4 linked regions of the Caenorhabditis elegans genome follow. The protein of the gene in region 3 interacts with the protein of the main gene of each other region in a biochemical or structural test. Each region holds a gene or a part of one and is shown on either strand. Other genes may lie near its edges.

Region 1 (5,393 bases), on a different chromosome or scaffold from region 3:
CAATTTTTGATCCTAGCTTCTTTTTGCAAAACTTAAAGCAACAAACCTTATAAGCGAGAAGAAGAACAATGGTTTCAATGCTAAATCTTCCACGGTCCACATAGTCACCAAGGAATAAATAATTCGCAGTCGGCGGCCATCCACCACGATGGAAGAGACGAAGAAGATCCGGGAATTGTCCATGGATGTCACCGCACACCTTTATCGGAGCATTCATTTCAACCATTGATTTCTGTCTTTTAAATACATCCAGTGCCAAATCGAGAAGCTTTAGAACTCGTCCTTCCGTGATCACTTCGGAAAGTAGCTTTTCGTGAGTACTAGCGCTCAGGACATCAATTATTATGTTGTCAACGACGTCGTCTTTCATAATCTAAAACATCAAACCTTTTTAACTTTTGATTCCTGGAAGAGAAAAAGAGAACTCACCTTTCGGAAATCACTTTCAATTGAAAATAATTTTTTTTCCTAGTTTTACTCACATCTACGTGTCTTTTTGTAAACAATTTTTTTTTCACGGCGCCGTGAATAATTTAATAATTTTGTAAACCATATTGATTTATATAAAAACTGAATTAATAAAAAACAAAAAGTACCCGTAACAAGAATAGAATAGAAAATGCGAAAGCTATGAAAATGAGCAAGATATCACAAAAAATCTGCAAAGGGAATTTGTACCGAGATCGAAAAAATTGGAATTTAAAGTTGATGTTCTCTACTGCTGTTCTGATTGTCCGACACGGAAGCTTCATACCGCCAATACTCATTGCGTGCTGGTTCCGGTTCAGTTGCCAGTGGCGTATAGCTTTGTTTTCTGCAAATTAAAGATAATATTTTCCAGACTTCAAAAACAAATTAACTGACCTTCCTAGTCGTAAGCTGTTGTTCAACTGAAGCTGTGAAAGTTCCGTCGGAGAACCACGACGGGTCGTCCACAATCTGAGAGGAAAAATTTTATTTTAGACTACTGTAACAGGAACTGGTTCAATAAGAATGAACTTACCCACAAGCCCACGAAGGAATGATAACTTCCCAAAACGTCTGCCGGTATCTTGAAGACATCACACAATATAAAACAAAATTTACAGAGGAATTGACAAGCGATAGGAGATCAAGAACATCACCAATGTAGAAATAGAGGTATCTGAAATGGAAAATTTAATTTTTCGAAAACTTCTTTAGCGCCCAATTTTAGCTTTAATTGGGCCAACAAAAATTTAGCAACACTTTTGCAAGACTCAGCCTGCACCCAAATTTCCAAAAATTCAAATGACTCAAGAAAAATTGGGTCAAGCTTGGGGCAGTTCGATTTCAGTTTTTCCAGGCCAAATTTCTAGTTAAACATCAAATCTTACCTATGAACGTCTGTAGTAAAAATTGCGCAAAGAATCGAGATGATTCCTTGTGGAAACTCCGTTATTAAAAATACCAATAAAATAACAACAAGCATCAATGTGGTTCTATCTGATGTTCCATTCTTTCTGAAAATTTCCATTTTGTCATAAAAGTTCTTTGAGAGTTGACTATACTTTTTCAATGGTTTTGAATCTGTTGATGCATTTGACGGAACACTCGTTAGTTTCCTCCGATGCTTTTCTGCGTCTCTAATCTTTGATACAAGGCCGAAAGACAAGAAAATTAGCAGAATACATGGAATGATCTGAAAACTGGTAGGACGTTTAATTTGATAACTCGCGTACTCGCTAACCTTGAACAGAATTCCAATCATCCAAATATTCCATTTAAACAACCGGCAATTGTTGATAGTCGCCGCGTGGCTGACCATAAAAGTGTACACCGGTTCAGAGTAGTTCGATGCAAATTTTTGACACGTTTTGCCAGGTCGCCAGTCATTTCCTTCTACACGGGCGATTTCGTGGACCAGCATATTTGGAATACAAAGTACAAATACGACCATATAGATTCCCAGGCACAACTTCCATGCGAACTTTGGTCGTTGCCATTGACTGAAAATTTCCAGATTTTTTAAGGGGGCCAACGTTTCTGGGTATATTGCTTGCAATGTCTTTGTAAAATTTCAATTTTAAATATTTTTGGATACCTACCATTGTTTGAAAAAAATTTTGAAAACTTTCATTACAAAACTTGTTCATCTTAGTGTATAAAAAAATGTTAGTCCCTTAAACTTTGCTCCCAGCATACCTATTCAAAGCGGTAACCCTTAATGTCATCCTCCGAATGAACGCCATCGCCACAGCGAGCCATAAAGAAGTTGTGTGTAGTGTGATGCTCAAAACAACATGCCACAATAGGAATTGTAACCAAGAATGAGTGAACGTTGGAGTGCTGTAATAAAATCTAATAATAAAAATTATTGAGTTTCATTGCAAACGCTTGTTTTCGTGTTTTTCAGTATCATTTTACGAGCGACTTTTCATCTTGAATTCACTTTTGTTATTTATGAATACACGTAGTTTGTAGCTTTGTGACGATTTTCAAAATTTCCTATGATCAATAAAATATGCAGTTGTTTTCATGTTTTGATGCACATAAAACGGATAGGAGGAAATAAATAGTTCCAGGTTCAACTAAAATTCTATGCCTCTTCAATTAAGTGCAGCAAGTGACGAACATGGGCATTCAACTTTTGAAATTCCATTATTACTTTGAGGATGTTTTTTTGTGTGTGTGTGTTGATACTTGAGTGGAAAAATAGAAGAATATAAATATCCTTCAAAATTTTCAATAGAAAGAGCACACTTAGTTTGAATTCTTGTTATTAATGGTTTGAGGTAGAGTTTGGAAAATAAGGATTTTGTTTCAAAGTATTCGAAATATTCAAATATATGCTGCATAATCAAAAAAAAAGGAAACTTAAAAAATCGAGAAAGATTTAAAAATGTCCAATTTTTGAAATTGCGAATTTTCATATTTGAATTTTTCCAAAATGAGAAGCCATGACTATTTTTAAACCAATCAGCGCCTTCGAACTCTACATCCTTTTTATGAAGTGACCGACATTTTCCGGGTTTTGCAATTCACCATAAAATTGGAATAGGAAAAACCAGAAAATAAATATTTTAAAGCTTGTGTTATTTTTCCAAAAATTCCATATTTGTTGATGTTCCTACTCAAAAGCCGCCACGCCGCTCCATTTCCCAAAACAAAAACATTTCCACCCAATAAACACACAAGAATTACCAGGAATTATTTCGTCGTAAGACAAAATGTATAATATAAATGAGATAGGATGCCATTGTTCCGATATCACAGACAGCCACTGCTGTCAGTATGCAGTTGACGGCCGAATTGCGCATGTTGGGTCTCGATAAAACTGCCACATGCACAAAATTGGTGAAGATACCAAAAACGCAGATGAGCACACATACATATCCGTGAATTGGCTGGTACCATCTGACAATTAATCATTGGTTCATTTTTCTTTTTTTGAAAGAAGTGCACAAAAAATAGTTTAACAAACCTTTGAAAATGTGCAAGTTTCCGAAGAAATGCCTGCGTACTGTTACTGTTCGGATCAAACAACTGAGCATCGTGCGGACATTCCATATCTAGCACATCCTTCAAAATGTTGAAAATTTAAGGGGTTTTTAAAGACCATTGAAACAAAGAAACATAAGGAGAAAATCAGAAGAAGCCAAGAGCAACAGGGTGGAATGCGTTCTGTGTTTTTTGAACTTTTAGATGACAGTCGGTTGTTGTGGAAGAAGCTGATCGAGTTTTCGAACAAAATATATAATTTCGTTTTTCAAAAAATTTACAAAATTATAGGTCACTGGCCGGAAGTTATTTTTGTTCCGTGAGTTGTTATTTCTATAGCAGGAAAATACTTTGAAAAATTGTAAAAATCTTTGATTGAAGATTTTTATTTTTTAAAAACTATTTCCTAGAGTAAAAAAAACCAAAAAACCTATTTTTTTGCCGGCCAGGGCGGTAGATTTGTTTGTTTTCGAAAACAAAGTGAGCGAAAAATTGCAAAAAACGCGTAAATTCTTTTGTAAATTTTGCATGTTTAAAAAAAAATGACACTCGAAACCGTAAAAGAGAGCCATATTTATCAAAATATTTATTATTTGGGTTTAAAACATTTTAAAATAATTTTTTTCGATTTCAGCAGATCTTGAAAATGCACAAAATAATTGGTAGGCATGTAGGCATGCCTGCCAACTTATCTTGGCAAGACTAGTCTTTTAAAACATAGTAAGCATATTTTTCAGCAGTTTTATAATTGCGATGATTATAATTGTGAAGCACACTCGTTCGTGAATGTTTAATCTTTCGCTCAACTTTCTGTTTCTTGTGAACATGTAACCTAGATCTAGGGCTTCTAGGTAGGCGCCAAACGACTGCCTACCTGCCGGACTTCAAAGTTAGGTCCACCTGCTTTTCATCAAATTAATCGAAATTCAAATTTATTGCTTTCAAATTTTATGCGCCTGCCTACCATGTTAGTCCTACCTAGAACAGAAACTTATTAGTTAAGTATAAAAGTTTTAAACTTTGGTATTTCATGCCACCATAAAACATATAAAATCAGGGGGCCATCTTGTGAAAATGTTTGTTGTGTGGTGCTGCTTCACACACACCGAAACATTTGAAACAGAATGGATTTCGAGACAGAAATGTGGCATTCAAAGTTAATGAATTCATCTTCCAGAGAAGATGAATCGGAAAATCGAATATTCTCACGACTTATGAATAAGGAAAACGTGGAAAAAAAAAGTTTAGGGGCGCAGGCGCAGTCAAAAGGGGAAGAAAGAAAGCTCAAGTCCCTTGGGAATTGAAGTGATGTGCCTATTGACTATTGACCACTGAACATTTCATCTTTGTTTCAAGAAATCAAAAGAGTGACCTAGCTAATTCTCTAACACCTTAAAATGCAGAGAGCCTAATTGGGGGAGAAATGAGAAAAATGCAGGAAAAAAGCTGAAAAGGGGCAAAAACTGGAGGAAGGAGAGGCGCTACCAATGGTGGATTGCGCACGTAACGTGTTCATTGTCTTTTTTACTCGAAACAAAATGGCGAAGCTTCTCCTCAAATTCAATTTGCAGTTCAAGCAGCTTCTAGTGCTTGAAAAGCAGTGACGAGACTGCATTATTTTCAAAGTGACGAGCAAAAAGGAGGAAAAAAAAAGAAGGACTAGAAGGAGGGGTAGGAATAGTGAGAGGAGAGAATTGGGATGCACAAATCACAACAAAACTTTGGGCAATGAAGAGGAGCCTTTCTTGGTTCCTTCTGGCTCCTCCACAAGTTTCCTAATGCTCAATTCTAGACTAATCTTTCAGATGGCTGTGCAGACTCCCGGATAGAATGATTCAGGCGGCTGCTTGGAATGCCTCCGTTTTTTTTCAGTTTGAGCACATTATTTAGTTACAGTGGCTCTGACTTTTGCTATCATACAAAGATACAAACAG
Region 2 (5,122 bases), on a different chromosome or scaffold from region 3:
TCTTTTTTCTGAATACTTTTGTGAAGCATATCCTAAGTCTTTGCCACAATGGGGCCAAAGTGAAATATGATCATACAGGACTATTATTGAAAAAGTTACAGCAGAGATGTTACGTATGTATACATAGATAGTATTTTAATTTTGTTCATGCTCAAAGTTTATGAGGAACATAAATCTGTCCTCTTAACTTTGTATTATGAAAATAATTTCGAAAAGTGGAGTATTTGTAACAGTATTTTTGCAGGTAAACTAGTCATACTGCCATAACTTCACATCAAGCTCCAGAACTTAAACGAAATGTTGTTAAAGTCTATGAAATCGTAGAAATGATACTAATAACTATCCATCGTGAAAAGTGCGAACTTAAAAAAAGCAACTGGAAGAAATGCGTTGAGCATTCTCTTGCTCCTCACCTGAATCTCAATGGTTAGAGAAGTCCGACCTAATGCACAAAATGATATATTGTCGACAATTGAACGGCTCCCTGCCATGAGAGCCCACACACCAATCTCACTTTAAAATCTTTTTTATCATTATTATATCTTCATTGAGGTCATAAAATGGAAACAAAAGAAAAGTTGAGAATAATTGAACTGGAGGAAACGTTCGAGATCAATTTTTAAAAACCCGTAAAATAAAGAGGAAAATTCTTTTACAAATATAAACAAGTGAATTAGATTTTAGGCGAGAGTGGCAAATCGAAGAAGTTTTCGTTTCGAGCTTGAACGGTTTTGATCATCTGAAAAAATTGTATTATTACTGAACACGTTTGTCAAAAAGTAGAAATTAATTTTAAAACAAATTAGTGCTTAGGATAAATGAGTTTTTTCTCAAAAGCATTTTAAGGGCAACAACTTTTTGTATAACGCGCAGGGTTTTTTGATTTGTGGAAATACTTATTATTTTCACTTGACCCAAAGTTTTCAAATAATGCTCCACAAATTTTGGTATCGCATGACGGGCTGATCAGCCAAATGTCAATAAGAAATAGTCAAGAAAAATATTTTTCGTGTTTTATGTTTAGACCTTATACCTCTAGAAAGATTACTGGCTGCACTTGGCTCATCGCTTTGAATTTCTCGAATCTCTTCCTCTTCTTCTTCTTCGTCTTCTTGTTCTTTTCGAATCGTTCTTGCTTTTCGAAGATCAATTTCTGATGTTGTGAGAAATAATTGAGCTGATTTGTTCATTTGTTTCTTATTTTTTACAAAATGTGATTTTTCTTTTCTATGACGACGGGCTGGAAATTTTTAAATTGAATGATAACACATAGTACAGAACTAATCACCTTCAACTTCATCTGGAAGAATCGAAAGCTCCAATGCTTTCTGAGCGGCCATCACTGTTGTTAAGGCAACTCCATTTGTCTGAAAATCAAATTTTTGTTTTAGAATTTCAGATATTTTCATACTCTTTTTCTCTTCTCTAATCCCAGCCAGTGTTTGATAATTGATCTGTACTTTGATGAAAAAATCAGATATACAAACATAGAACTGGATGAATTCAAACTGATTAGAAGATTTGATATTTCAACAGAAAGGTCAAAGTTCCATTCATTAAAAATGCTCCATTCACCATCATAATCTTGTGATTGTTCTTCGATCTGGAAATTATTAGGAAGTTTATTTGTAAAATTATTCCGATTTTTCAGAGATTAATTTTGAGTGTACGTTAAAGTATAAAAATGGGTTACCTCTGGAACAAATGAAGTTTGATTCAGGGATTGAGAATCCGATGCATGTTTTTTTACATGTTGCACGTTTTCGTAGATGTTGTTGCAGAATGCAAGACAATTACAGCAGAGAAATATGGCAACAATTGCAAGAAGCATAAGAGTTACAGAACGATCACGAAGAGAATTTCCATTTGTTTTTAGAAGTGATGGCGTTTTCAACGGGCTGAAATTATAATGTTATGTAATTCAAAATGAAGATTCGTCTTTAATATGATTTTATATTGTTAAACTAATTTTCTTGAAAATTAACAAAAATGGCTGTCTCTCAGTATTTTTAGACATTTTAAAGTTCCAATTTAAATGAAAAAAGTTTCACTTTTCACTTACTTGAAATTGAGTCGCCCGAACCTTCCAAATAACTCACTGTATTTGGCACCTTTGAGCATCCGAAAATTATTCATAATTCGTCTGAAAATGATAAAAAGATAATATCGTATACACAAATCCTGACAAAAGCTAAGCAAGCACGCCATTCCAAAAGGGTAATTCAGGAAAACACGCGGGGGAAAATATGCAGGCCAAAATAAATGACTAACATAACCAAACTTACTTGTCGAGAGATTTCCAGGTGAATCTACTGGAACAGTTTAATTTTTTAGTGTAAAATTTTAACATGTTTTTTTAAAGTTCCGTCCCTCGGTTTATTTCCTTTATTTTTTAGAAATAAATTCAAAAGCCTTATGGGATTTCTTTTATTGAATCTCTAGAAGAATTCAGAAAAAAAACTTCAAGTTGCCATTAAAATAAAAACTTTGATCCAGAAAAAAAACTTACGATTGTGTGCTTTTCTTCATTGATTGACCATTTCTCATTCTCGTTGATTCTTTCAATGCAACCACAATTCGACAATTAACTATTATAAGTGTAATGAATGGAATGATGAACATTATCAATGTATACATTATACATTTTGTTATCAAATTGTATGATGATTTTTGTCTCAAACTTGTTAATATAATTGAACTGATAGGTGCATTGAAGTTGATAGAATAGCAAGGACGAATGTCCAATTCAAGCCACGTATGAAGATTTATTACTATACTGAAGATTATTGAGCCTGAAAAAATGAACAAATTAAAAAAAAAATTATGCACTTACCAATAATTGCCCATTTAACAGGTTTTCCAGAAACCCATCGTTTTGCTCGAAAAGGATGACAAACTCCTAAATATCTGTGCACAGAAACCAGAACTGTGAGATAAACACCACAAGTTTGTGTACTCAATCCAACTGGATACGCAAACCACAGAAATACAGGATAATAATCATGTAACAAATAGCTATTGCTCATTGATGCAATAACTGGGAATATGAGCATAAAGAAATTACACACCAAAAGTACTAGATCGGAAATTGAGAGCACCTGAATACAGTATATCAGAAATTTTTTTAGATGGAAATTAAAAGTTTCTCACCAATAAAAAATGATTTACAAGAGAACATCGCATCTCTGGATCACAAAATACTATCACATTGATCACGTTTGTGATAAAACCAAATATAGCAATTGGCATGCCTGGAATTAATTAATTTTTTCATAAAAATAAACAGAATTTTATAATACCTCCGAATAATCGAATGGTTGCCTGAATATCATTGAATACTGATGGCTCACATTCTGGTAATTCTTGAATGTCTGGAACGTAGATGACAGTAGATGTCATCAGTCTGAAAGCACGAACTTGAAATCCGTCATTTTTTAAGATAGAGAAAGAGGTGGAGAGTTTATGCAGGTAAAAAACATTGGAAATACAAACAGAGAAAGAAACAAAAAATGAATCAAAACGATTAATAAGAAAAGAAAATGTTGAGAGTGACCGGTGCATATCTCGATAAAATCAAAATTTAACTATTAATATCCAAGGTCTTCAATTGAAATTGAAAGATTAAGAAGTGTAGGAGGAAACGGAGGTGAATATTCAAGTATGAAGTTAACTAAATATAGAATCTAAAAGATATTGGTCTACATTATTAATCCTTTTTATTTTATATTTTGTGAATGTGAGGAAAGGCTTTGTGAGATTTAGTTCATTATTCAATTAATGCCATGTAGTCTTTGCTTCCGATATTCTTTTTTTTTCAGTATATTCTTGATATATTTGTTAAAAGTGCAAATTAGTATATGATATCATTCGTTTTTAACACAATGTATAAAACTGATAATTTCCGAACATTTTGAACAATGCTAATAATATCAGATTTGAATTCAATGAAGTTCACACATAAACCATATAAAATAATAACTCATCAATCGGAATGATTGAATGAACCAAACTTAATAAAAGGAACGCTCGATCGCAATGTTTTAAAATCGATCAAATTATTCAGTTCTATAAAATGATGTGAAAAAATTTATTTCGAAAATTTATTCAAAAAAGTAAACGTGCATTTTTCGATAATAAGAACTTGACTTCCGCTGTTTAATTTGCATTTCAATAACAGCTACGGTGAACCTTATTTACAATAAGATAGAATTCAAATCAAAACTTTTACCGTTCTGGGGGAGAAATTGAAGAAAAAAATGGAATTACTTTGAAAAAATTACATATATTCTACAAAGGCACGACTTACGCTCGCCCGGCTCTTCTTGATTTACCCAAACAAAGTACCCAAAAAAAGAAAAAGGAAAAAAAAACAAAACTGTACAGAAACATATAAAAAACATGACAAAACATTTCCACAAAGCTATTGTTAGGGCGCCATGAGGGCGATCTAACAATAAAAAACGGGGGAGAAGCTTACCCGTCACCCAACGATTCGGCGGAATGGATATTGGGAGAAGTGAAGTCGCTAACGTAAGTTTCGTGAGTCTTACTAGTAATAAAAATAAATCATTCGGACGTAAAACTGTAAGTATACACAGTCGCGATGGATATTCAACGACAAATGAATAAAACTTGAAATATGAATCTCAAAAATCTAAGCGAACAAAGAAAGCTTGGCGGAGCCGTGTTCAGTCAATTGGAATTTTCGAATAATCTATTTATAGCCGATAGAAATTCAAGCACGTCTTCAACAAAAAACTATCAAGCAGAATGAACGTAGGCGACGATAGCTCAATTTATTGCTGTTCATTTGCTGAGACTCACGGAATCCCCTTCCAAGACGAAGAAAGATTTAACAAGAGCTTCTACTTCTATCGATAATCTGTTCGATTATATATTTTATGAGAAGTGATATAATTGCATGAATTTCAAGTTACAATTCTCACAGTCAATTAATCGTATTTTTGCCAATAAACATTATGGAATTTAAATGGAATTTTAAGACACTCTATTGGGGGTTTTTTTTTTAATTTTAAATAAAAAGTTCCGGCTTGAGAACAATAGATTTTGAACTTTTTTTTGATGAAAATTCAAAATCCGTCAAAAACAAAAACAATAAAAA
Region 3 (3,648 bases):
AACTTCTTTGCCAACTTTGAATGTTTCACATTTCAATTTCAGAGAACTTCTTTCTCAACTTGAAATCTACAATCGACAAATTAAATTTTCCCACAACCCTCGAGCGAAGCCAGTTGATGACAAACTTAAAATGGCGTTCCAGGACTGTTTCGACCAAATCATGAGGCTGGTGGATCGCTGATTCTTTTTTCTATTTTATCATGTTTGTTTCTTCCAAAACACCATAATATCTTTTCCGATTCCTTTTTTATTTTGAATCTGCAGCTGAAACATCAAGTAGGTACTACTGAATAAAACGTGTAGTTTGTCTTCCATCTACCATTTCTGATGAGATTATTCGTCTTCTTCAATTTTTTTTTTTCCTGTCATTATTTTTCATTGCACACTGAGTGCAACTAAACGGTGTACCGTCTTCTTTCCTTTTATCATTAATTTTTGACTGTTATGTGAACCTTTCTCACTTTTTCTGTTTTTCTTTTCATGTTCACTCTAGTCCTGCATAATTGTTAATATGCATCATATTATGAAATAAAATGCTTTCATCGATGTTTAACAAGTCGCAAACTTTATTGCTAAATTTTTGACAATACAAAGAATAATGGAATCGAATTGAGTAATGAGAATAAAAGCGAGTTAATCCAAAAGTGACAGAATTTGTATAGACGGAGAAGGTAAAACGTATATAAAAGGACAGGATGGACAGAAAGAAGGAAGGTGTGCTGATTGTCGTCTGAAGTCTGATTTGATGTGCGCAATTTGTTTGAGGTGTATTGAACCATGTCTGACCGTCAAAATTGTGCAAAGCCGGTTATCCGAACCTGACTGAGCTGGCCCAAGATGCCCTCTTACCGAACCTCACTTGATTCGCCCATCTCTTTTCCATGCTCTTGAGAGAAGGGTCCGACTGCTGCAAGAAATTGAATTGAACTTGTATTCCTTTCTACTTTTTGAATTCAAAATTCTATTTTTGAAACATGAAAAGGACTAAATGCAATCATATTTCACATTCTCCGAGTTTTCTTTCCGTCCCCAAATGCTTATTTATGTACCTCAAAGGAATTCTAGAAAAAATGATGCATAGACGTGAAGTGGATCAGAAAAAAAACTCATTATTTTTTGCATCAAGGATGAGACTACGGTGATACCTAATCCCATAACGAGATGAACAAACACACAAAATTAGTTGGGTTTTTGTTCCGCTCTGGCCCATGGCTCACCTCAAGATAGTCGTACAATGCCGAATCGTCGTTGAACGCCTCCATATTCAACGGTGAGTTGTCCTGAACGGCTTGCATTTTCAAATCACCATTTTGTGACTGAATTGGTTGCCCTGAAATACCTATTCATTGACTATTCTTCTGCTAGAACAGTCTAGACTCTAACACGTTTACAATGTTCTGTTGAGAGATATAGGCTTAGATTTGTGATATTAATAAATGAAAACAAAATTGAAATTGAACAAGACAAAGATAATTGTTAATAAAAAATAAACTCACCGACGACTACGGCAATTAACAGGAAAAGCATGGAAAACAGCGTTAGCTGGAAGGACATGTCGGTGCAATGAATGAAGCAGTGGTGGGCGTGTCCTCCTTGAGGCACGTTGAGAGCACTCGCGGGTTTTGTGGACGTGGCTTGTCAAAGACTAAGAAGCGATATCTACAAGGAATTCAAGAGTTTTCTATAGTAAGAATGAGAGACGACGCGACAAACCGGTGAAATGTGGGTGGAGCACTATGGAATATAGTGCTAATGAACCAAAAGTGAGAAGGATGGGAATGGGAGGAATGTCACCGCTACTTTTTAAGATGTGCAGCCTAGAAGTTTTTCCAGTATTTCGAGCCCGGAAAATAAGAAAGTGATGATATTTGAAGATATCCGGAAGCACGAAAGTTGAGGTGTGGGTTGCTTTCTCAAACCTACTTTATAATTCAAGGTAGACTTTTTTTTAGTTTCTCTTAGTTTAGATTTGAGATCTGAAATGTGGTTTTCCGGATATAAAAGAACAAGAAAAGAAAAATTGAAGTTTAATGCGTTTGTTTCAGTTCTCGACTTAGTTAAAAATAAAGAACGTTTGAGAAAACTTGTTATGATAGTTGTTCCAATTTTGCTGGCCAATTTCAAAAAATTGAATTTTGGAGATGTTATAAATTACTTTCCATTATTTCATGCGGTACAATGTTCTTGTTCTTAGCAATTCTACATACGGTCTAGACGCTTAATAACGGATTTGGTGATTTTTGGCATTTTTCTCAGTTAGTCACTGAACAGGTACCATGATAATTCTATATTATTTTGTGTTCAGTCTATGTTACCGCAGGGAATTCAAAGAAATGAAGTAGTTGTTACAAAACGGTTTGATAAGGTGTAGTTAATAAAACTTGAAAATTGTTAATACTTCTGAAAGCGAAAATTAAAAACAGTGTAACACTATTTTTAATTTAAATAATCCGCTTAGATATCAATAGAGACGCTGTAAAAATAAAACTTCATTTGTGAGCGGAAGTCTCATCAACGCTTGCGCTTGCAGGAAAGGAGCAAAAAATTAAACAGATTTCATTTAAATTTTAATTTGTTGCTGTTTTCAACCCATATCTCGCAGAGAGCTTCATGAATTTTAATGCTAAATTCTGTGTTGTGCCACAGAAATTTTTTATTCTAAAAAGTTAAAACACACCATACATGTGTTTCTTTTCCAGAATAGCATTTTCGAAAACGATTAGAATTTCAAATTTTAAATTCTCACTTCCTGAGGCGGGCTACCATGGAGCCAAAAAATCACTTCTATGGCGACGCTATGATTTTTCTATTGACGTCATTGAAAGCATTTTCATCAGAAGAGAAAGTTAAATTGTACTCAATCATAGAGAACTCGGCTGGGAAAACTCTACTACCATTGTAGTCATAATCTTCTGTCAGAACTTGTTATACATGACTAATGAATCATAAATCTCGTTTCAAATAATCAATCTCAGCTCTTGTTTTCCGATCTATCAAACTAAAACAATGAAAATAGACAATACACTGTATAAGTGTCATAAATCAAGATGCACATCCAAGTTATTTATGAACAAGGTTGAGTTAAATAAGAACAGTTTTTCGGAGGAATTGTTGGTCTGTATTTAAAAACGTTTACATTTACCTCGACTTTATCTGTTTTTATGATGATAATAATTTGTACATCACACTGTTTGTTGATGAGTTACATATAAAATATATCCAGTGCTTACGTGGAATATTATTATATTTTAAGTTGAAACATCTTTCATTTATTCTATCAGTTAACAGCAAACGATCAGGGATAAATAAGTGATAACATGTGGTTTCCGTTTTTTTCCCACGATGACATCAGTTTCAATTCCGATTTTAGTTTTAGGTTCTAAAGTTCTGACTTCGGGATTTGATAATCAAATTTGATGACGCAAAAGCATTTGAAAAACACAAAATTTGAGAAAAAACAAATTTCTTGATTTCAGTACAATTTGATTACAGTGAATGTGTTTTTTTTCCAAAACCACGTTTTGACTAGAGCCAACTTTTATAAACAATTTTCACTTGAAATAATGTATGGAGCAAATTCAAAAAATACATAACATAGTTTAAAGCATACAAGGTAACAATTATTTCGAGTTTATGAAAATACACGTC
Region 4 (7,283 bases), 1.9 Mb from region 3:
ATATGTGAACTTTTTTCTACTTCCACTTTTAGTATTTATTCGTTTTAAATAAGTATGAAATGAATAATCCACCTCTTGCTTTTTTTGCAGTTCCTATAAGTTCACGAATGTATTTTTCATATCCATTTCCTTCATTTTCAATTTAATTCGATAATTATCGTTATAGTTTTTAAGACTATTTTTCCGTACACAACTTTGCACATAATGACTATCTGAGTCAAGCTCACTTTTCCGCTAAAATGAATACGCAAGAATATCAAGAGCTCACTTTTAGAACTTCGATATTTTTGTTTTTCTTAGAGTGAATACATCTTCCAAAAATACATCGAATGTTTTTTCCAAGAAAATGCTCGTTTGAACAACGAGTGTAAAAATATGTCCTTGAGCTATGAATTATGAAATATGTGAATGGTCAACTAGAGCTTGCCAAAAAATATGAATTTTTTCTTCAAAGTCTTCAATTTAAAGTATATATTTTATCCGGAAATTACAATGACATCATGTTAATTTTCTTTTTTTTTAAACTTTTTTTCATTTTGGTGAGTGAGTATATCTACAATTAGAATGAATAAGTTGATCAAAATCGTTTGAAAAAATTTTATCATTGTATTATTTTACATATAAAAGTTAAAAATACAAAGAATCCAATTTTCAAACTCTTTTTCTAAACAGAAACAAGTCTTTATCGCTCTTTGATTTTGGTTTGGGTACAATATCTCAGTAAAACCATACTTCTTTAACTAATCTTGTATTTTGACAAATCATATTTAAAGTGAGTTTTCGTAAATTATTATTCCCCGTAATTGGAACAGGTTTCAAATATCAAATAACATTTCTTCAATCATCATTGCTTATTCAAAGAACCTCCTTTGTTTTTGTGAAAGCTACGTGATGATACCAGCCGTTCACGACTTTTTGGCTTCCACTTCTCCGCTAACATATTCATTACTGACCATGCAGTCCCCTTTTTCTCAGTAGTTATTCACAAATTCTTGATACTATATATAGTCGAACATCATAAAAATGACTAGTAGTATATTTCAATTCTGCTTCGTCTTTTCATTGATGCCCTACTATTTACCAGAACTCACTTTTTTGAAGCCATTTTGTAAGGCATCAATAAAGTAAGACTAGTTAGTCTTGAAGATCCAACTGTTTTTTTGTTTTGAAAAGAAAGAAAAACTTAAGAAATTAGTGGATGGTTTTGTTCAAAATTTTCGAAAATAAGTGTATTTTCTCCTAGACTTTTTGAAAGTACGAGTAACAAAAACGTATCTTACTGAAATTGTCAACTATGTGTTTTTGTTTTAAATTTTCACTCTTATCTTAGTTTACTTTCTTTTTCTTAACAAACCAAAACTCTGATTTTGAAAAAAAGTTCTCATTTAATTATTCGCTCGAATAAACTAATTACAAGTTCATTTTTGTGTTAGTATGTATACCATAAATTTTACTTCCTACTTTCTCCGAAGTTTCATATATATTCGTTTTGTTTTACAAGTTTTATATTGAAGAATTTAGTCACCTAATACCATTTTCAAGGATGTATGTTAATCGTTAAATTTGAATAGACCCCTACGTCACTGCTTCTTTTTTTCAACTTTTGAACTTTGGTTGCTCCGTCTTCGCTTTTTTGTTTCGTTTCAACCAAAACTCAATTATCTCTTAGTTAGAGCCTTTTTTCTTTCTAAAACCAATTTTTATCGTGTTCCAGTGTGTGCCACACCACTTCGGCCTCTGGCTATGAACTCGACAGTTATTTCGCTTCTTAATAATTCTACACTGGTCACTACGGATCAGCCAGGTTTTTCTGGAAGTACAAAAGGAACATGCAGCTATCCAACTAATTTTGCGGAGGTCGATTACATTAGCACATATATTTACCTGCTTGCCATTCCAACAATTTGCGTGCTGGGAGCCGGCGCTGCGGTAATGTGCATTGTGGTGTTCACTAGGAAACAAATGAGGTTCGTTTTATTGAAGAGTACTTGTGAGAGTATATCTAGAAAGGACTGAATTCGAATTACCTATCCACTTCACTTTTTAAGTTAGAAAATATAAGAGACGCAAAGAAAATCTGTTCCCCGCAACGAAAAGACTTCGAACGTTTTGAGAAAGGACGACGAAGTCACGTGGCTTACGGAAACGTGTACGAGGGAAACTTTTTCATTTTTCTGCGTCTATATCTTCTAACAAACACAGTAACGTGGATAGGTAATATGTTTAATCATTATTTCTAAAAAAATGAATATGTGATGCGTGTATATCTGTACCCCAAATGGTTCACAGGAAAATAATAATTTTTATATGAAAAAAAAACGATAGCAGTTTTTTTTTTCACAAATTATGTTTCTGCCTTTTTTGTCGAATAAAGAAGGAGTCTTGTCCAACAAGTAAATCAAAAATAAAGTTAGGGAAACACCAAATGTTTTTCCCTGATAAAAATACGCTATTTAGTTCTAAAAATAAATATTTATTAGCCTATATATTTATAAAAATTTACCTCACATTAGTCAAAAACGAGCTATAGCTTTAGGCTGCTATTCATTTCAAAAAATGATCAAAAACTATTCAAATAAATCTTTCAATTTGTTCTTGCTGCACAATTCAATTGAAACAGTGATTTCAAATTTTCTTGGCCCTTAATAAACATTTTAATTCATGTACAACTGACGACATTTTTATGATTTTTTTTGATTGTATTAATCTTTTTGAAAAATTAATGACATCAAATTGTTCCCCATTTATTTAGTTTTAATTTTCTTTGGTAGTCTGTTCAAATACTCATTTCAAGAAAAAAGAGCAAATAAGGATACATAGAAATACAAAATATTTTTAACTTCAGATCATCACTCAACGTATATCTTGCCGGATTATCGGTTTTCGATCTTATCCTGCTTTCATTCAGTGCTCTGATCTTTTCACCTCTCCAAGGTTGCGTTTTGCAGGTGAGCGTAGATAACTGGTTGATATTCAGTGGAATTTGTAATGAGATGAAGAAATGTCCATCAATTTATTCATCGATAAGCTCATAGCACGGAAAGAGAAATGAAAAAAGTTATTTATGATATTGAAGAGGGATTTAATATTTCTCAAAACTTCGAGTTTCATCAAGGTCTGAAATAATTTTCTAATGTCTTAGAAACTGCGTATAATTTATGTTTCCAGAAATATGAATGTTTCAGAACACCACTAAAAACAACTATGTTAGCAATAATTCAAATAAACTATTCAGGGTCACGGGGACACCGCGGTTTGTCATTTCTTCTGGAGATCAACTCCTTGGACGTTACCCATATCAAATATCGCACAATGTGGTAGTGTCTGGACATGTGTTGCAGTGACGGTGGATCGATTTCTTGCTGTTAACTATCCGCTTCATAGCAAAATTTGGTGCACACCGCGCCGAGCAACAACAATACTTATTGCGATTACGGTTTTTAGCATATTGTTCAAAGTAAGTACAAGAATTGTCAATTTTTTATTTTGTATTTCGAAATACACACAACGTTTTAAAGTTTCGTATCCTGACTATTATGGTCTAAAGTAATGTTTTTATAATATATCAAATTTGCATATTACGGAAGTCTGTTGCTACGATAATTGTAGTTTAAAGGTTTTTTAAAATAAAATTTCTTGTGAAAACAAACATCAATGCTATTAGAGTTTGTGACCCCAGTTTTAAAATCATTCAAGCATTCAGAATATTAAACATGTCAGCACACTGTTCATTGATAATAAGTTGATCACTGTGTGAAAATGTTCAATTTTATTTTAGAATTTTTAAAATATACATTTGCGTGTGTATATCAAAACACAAGAGCTACTGACTTTGATTTCTAAGACACCGGGGAAAACATGAAAGTTGAAAAAAAATTAATTCGTAATTTACATTATCACAAAATTAAAAATTCTGTGGAGGAAAAGCAGATGAGCTTGAAATTCCAGTATTTATAATATTTAATATTAACTCGAAAATCGCTGTTTTTTATAAATTATTTTCCATCAGATTGTAATTTTACAAATTGAAAAAAAGTACACTCAAAAACACTAGAAAACTTACAATACGCTTTTTAGGTTCCCCTAGTTTCAATGAATAACTTAGAGATTTTTCAATATTTAGCAGTGCTGTGCGGCCCTTGAAAAAAGTCGGCTCTCGGCGCAAGCCGCACAGCACTGATATTTAGCTCAAAATTTAATTTAAAAAAAATGAGTTAGGTACAATTATACAAAATCCCTACCTTTTTTCATCTTGTTTTAATTTTACGGCCAACTTGAACCACGCAAAACTTTTAGGTTGTGAATACAACATTGGTAGTTTCTTTTTTTGTGTTATTTTCTGATTCAAAAGACTATATGGATTGTTATTCTAAATGTTCTAAATTAATGTACTACTTTGCAAACTGAGGAACATCGTAATAAGTTTAGTAGGCGACTATCCGTGATACAAGTCATCTTCAGGCACCAATGTTCTTCGAGTTGACCAACGATGACTGTGGTCGACTGAGAACCTCATTTCTGCGGGATAATAAGTACTACAAAGAGTACTACGTAACATTTGGGTACCTCATCGCGCTGTTATTGATTCCATGGACAGTAATGATTATACTGAATGTGTTTGTGGTAAAGGCTGTACACAAGGCGTATAAGATTCGGAGGTCTATGCAAGGAGGAAAAAATAATCAAGAAGAAAAAGATCGGAGGTGTGGTTTTATCATTTTTATTTTTAATTATTTTTTAAACTTTGGTTTCACCAGTTTTTTGATGTTAAGTTCGGTTCTCTAGTTTCTTAAAAATTTTCAAATACATCGATTTACATTTTTTAATGATTATTTATTTTTCTTATTTCAAGCATGGACTGCTAACGTTTATTACAAGAACCGAACCAGCTTTTTTGATTTTTGCATGTTTTTGTTATTTTTTATTATCTGAAAACAACTATCGCTCAGAACTTTTCTCCCTCTTTTTTTTCGATTCGACAAAATTCAAAAACAGTAGAAAACAGTTTGTCTCCCAAGTTCAGAAACAGTCTCAGATGCACTCTTATGGCCATCGCTATGGTGCTCACTTTCTTGATCTTCAACGTAGTAGCAGCAGTGAACAACTTGGCTGAGACGGTGTTCGAAGTGAGCTTAGGATTTTGGAGTCCCATTGGAAATTTGCTAATTTGTTTAAACAGGTAAGAAGTTTTAGTAATTATAACGTGTTAGAAGCTGTGTGCTCGAAAAACTTTAGAATCGGTTTCTACATGAAAGTGGCAGAGAGCACATTAGTATGGAAAAAGAAACTTTTCCGGGTTACTTTTTGGGTTCAATCTGTCTTTTCGAAATGTTTTCCAAATATTGCCATGATTTTAAGATGCTTTGAAACACTGAAAATGACCCTAAGTAATTTCAAAAAAATTTTCAAAGAAGTCTGAATCAAGTTCGGTGAAATAAATCATTCAATCTAAAAGTTTAAAATCCTCAACATCAACGCAAACTTTTGAAAATGAACAAGTAAACATTTTATACCAAACACCACCTTCCAATTTTATATCACAGAGGTTATAAAATTGGAAGTGCATGATGCTGAATCGTTTTTCAAATAGAGTTATTGAATGAAAAATAAATGAACTTAAGCCCTAGTGTGGCAAGGTTTTTGAATTGTATGTATGAACAAATAACCTTTAGCGCTTCCAACATCGTGATCTACTCGTTATTCGGAGCCCGATTTCGTCAAATGTGTGTCCTCATGCTTTGCGGGCGACAAAGTCGATGGATGGAGTGGCTCAAAGTTGGAAGGTACCCACCTCAGTAATTCTATCACTGCATTGTTCAAATTTTCTAAAAATTGTCATTCAGGAGCATGGTCAGTGATTGGGATGGTAGAGATGGTACGACGAGGAAAACTAGTTTGGACGCCAGTACTGCTCTGTTAAGTGCGAGGGTAAGCTTTAAAAAAAGTAAATCGGTACATTCATTATTAATTATTCTTCTTTAATGAACATTCTCGATTAATTGAAAACAATTTCATATTTCTTTACTATGCTTTTGCTTTTTGGTATACTGCTTTGTAAATTGTTTTCAAAAGAACCATTACAGCGAATGACGATTTCGAATTTCATAACCTACCCGGTGGTAAGTTTTGTGTGGAAAATAGAAATAATATTGTCTAGAAACGCATTTAGTTCGTGTGCAGTTTCATTTTCTCCCCGGACTGATTTGCATGTACCTTACCCATTTTCCCCAATATACTTAATCTCCAACCTCTTAGAGTTTTTATTTGATTTATTTTTTGATTTCTTGATAATATTGGTTCTAACATAATTTGTTCTGATTGGAAACTGGGGTTAATGCGTTTTAAATAGAGTAGTTTATAAATTTGAAGCAAATTTTTTTAATATGATAACTGTGGAAAGCGGACAAAATTTTTTAAACAAGTTTCACAGTTTAATTATCTTTCCATCAATAATATTTAAACAATATAGCTGTTTCGTTACTGTTTTGGTAATTTGTTAATTTACCGAAAGTTTGACGTTCATATTTGAAACATCCATTTTTTCTTTAGTAATTAACTATAATACTCAAACATACAGTATGTAAAATAAAGTTTCCATAAAGTTTCAAAAATTTGTGTTTCAGAGTTCTCGCCGATGGAGTAAACGGAGTCAAAGTGGTGCACCACATCAAGCAGCTCCTGCTCGAAAAGATACAGTAATCTACACAAGTGCTCAAAACAGACTTTCGCTTCAAAGCGCACCTTCATAACGGAAAACACGTCAAACCTTTATCATGTTTCTGTATATATCTTTACTGCACATCTTCATGGATTTTGTTAATTTGAGCATTTTTTCGATACCATGTATTATTTGATAAGAACTGCAATATCATTATGAATTGAACGCTTCATTTCTGTTTTGTTTTTTTTTGTTTCGTTTCTAATATTTATTTTTCACCTGCCTGCCATAATCAAAAGTTACTAGTTACAAATTGTCTAGTCTAAAAGTAGTACTGGTCATCTCCCTCCAAAATCATCCCGATTCTTGCGATCTCTTTTGTATTCATTTTCTTGGGTTGCTAACATTTGACCAATTCATTTCAGCTTGGCTAGTTTTACTTAAGTGTCACTAAAAATTGCTCGGAAAATTGTTAATTGAGTCCAAGTTTGATTATTTCAGACTTATATAGTTTTATATTTTCTCCGCAATTTTTGAATTCACGTTTTTGGATGATAATGCTCAAGATTTCATTGTGAAATACAGCAATGGTCCAATAAAGTAAATTTCTCGTATATTTAAAAAA

Evidence for each region.
Region 1: the proteins of flp-19 (region 3) and dmsr-7 interact in a test that uses a peptide from one of them, tested with the Caenorhabditis elegans proteins (one large-scale study listed by BioGRID).
Region 2: the proteins of flp-19 (region 3) and frpr-9 interact in a test that uses a peptide from one of them, tested with the Caenorhabditis elegans proteins (one large-scale study listed by BioGRID).
Region 4: the proteins of flp-19 (region 3) and frpr-8 interact in a test that uses a peptide from one of them, tested with the Caenorhabditis elegans proteins (one large-scale study listed by BioGRID).

The regions. Positions count from the first base shown.
Region 1 is NC_003283.11:5,403,505-5,408,897, reverse strand, and holds dmsr-7 (G-protein coupled receptors family 1 profile domain-containing protein), read right to left. Parts: upstream 3,546-5,393; 5' UTR 3,529-3,545; coding exon 3,443-3,528; intron 3,376-3,442; coding exon 3,163-3,375; intron 2,308-3,162; coding exon 2,164-2,307; intron 1,968-2,163; coding exon 1,709-1,967; intron 1,661-1,708; coding exon 1,530-1,660; intron 1,482-1,529; coding exon 1,356-1,481; intron 1,145-1,355; coding exon 1,004-1,144; intron 940-1,003; coding exon 865-939; intron 815-864; coding exon 700-814; 3' UTR 512-699; downstream 1-511. Other genes in the region: C25A6.1 (Serine/threonine-protein phosphatase), read right to left, coding at 47-370.
Region 2 is NC_003283.11:10,990,376-10,995,497, reverse strand, and holds frpr-9 (G-protein coupled receptors family 1 profile domain-containing protein), read right to left. Parts: upstream 3,401-5,122; 5' UTR 3,400-3,400; coding exon 3,300-3,399; intron 3,252-3,299; coding exon 3,151-3,251; intron 3,099-3,150; coding exon 2,834-3,098; intron 2,793-2,833; coding exon 2,510-2,792; intron 2,313-2,509; coding exon 2,286-2,312; intron 2,144-2,285; coding exon 2,063-2,143; intron 1,899-2,062; coding exon 1,694-1,898; intron 1,604-1,693; coding exon 1,412-1,603; intron 1,368-1,411; coding exon 1,289-1,367; intron 1,241-1,288; coding exon 1,034-1,240; intron 740-1,033; coding exon 681-739; 3' UTR 527-680; downstream 1-526.
Region 3 is NC_003284.9:10,602,732-10,606,379, reverse strand, and holds flp-19 (WANQVRF-amide), read right to left. Parts: upstream 1,695-3,648; 5' UTR 1,555-1,694; coding exon 1,497-1,554; intron 1,331-1,496; coding exon 1,218-1,330; intron 908-1,217; coding exon 809-907; 3' UTR 549-808; downstream 1-548. Other genes in the region: Tyrosine-protein kinase abl-1, read left to right, coding at 43-181. UniProt on the Caenorhabditis elegans protein: FMRFamides and FMRFamide-like peptides are neuropeptides. WANQVRF-amide inhibits the activity of dissected pharyngeal myogenic muscle system.
Region 4 is NC_003284.9:8,696,074-8,703,356, forward strand, and holds frpr-8 (G-protein coupled receptors family 1 profile domain-containing protein), read left to right. Parts: upstream 1-1,743; coding exon 1,744-1,967; intron 1,968-2,845; coding exon 2,846-2,948; intron 2,949-3,235; coding exon 3,236-3,457; intron 3,458-4,461; coding exon 4,462-4,703; intron 4,704-5,035; coding exon 5,036-5,179; intron 5,180-5,672; coding exon 5,673-5,795; intron 5,796-5,843; coding exon 5,844-5,928; intron 5,929-6,083; coding exon 6,084-6,119; intron 6,120-6,623; coding exon 6,624-6,749; downstream 6,750-7,283.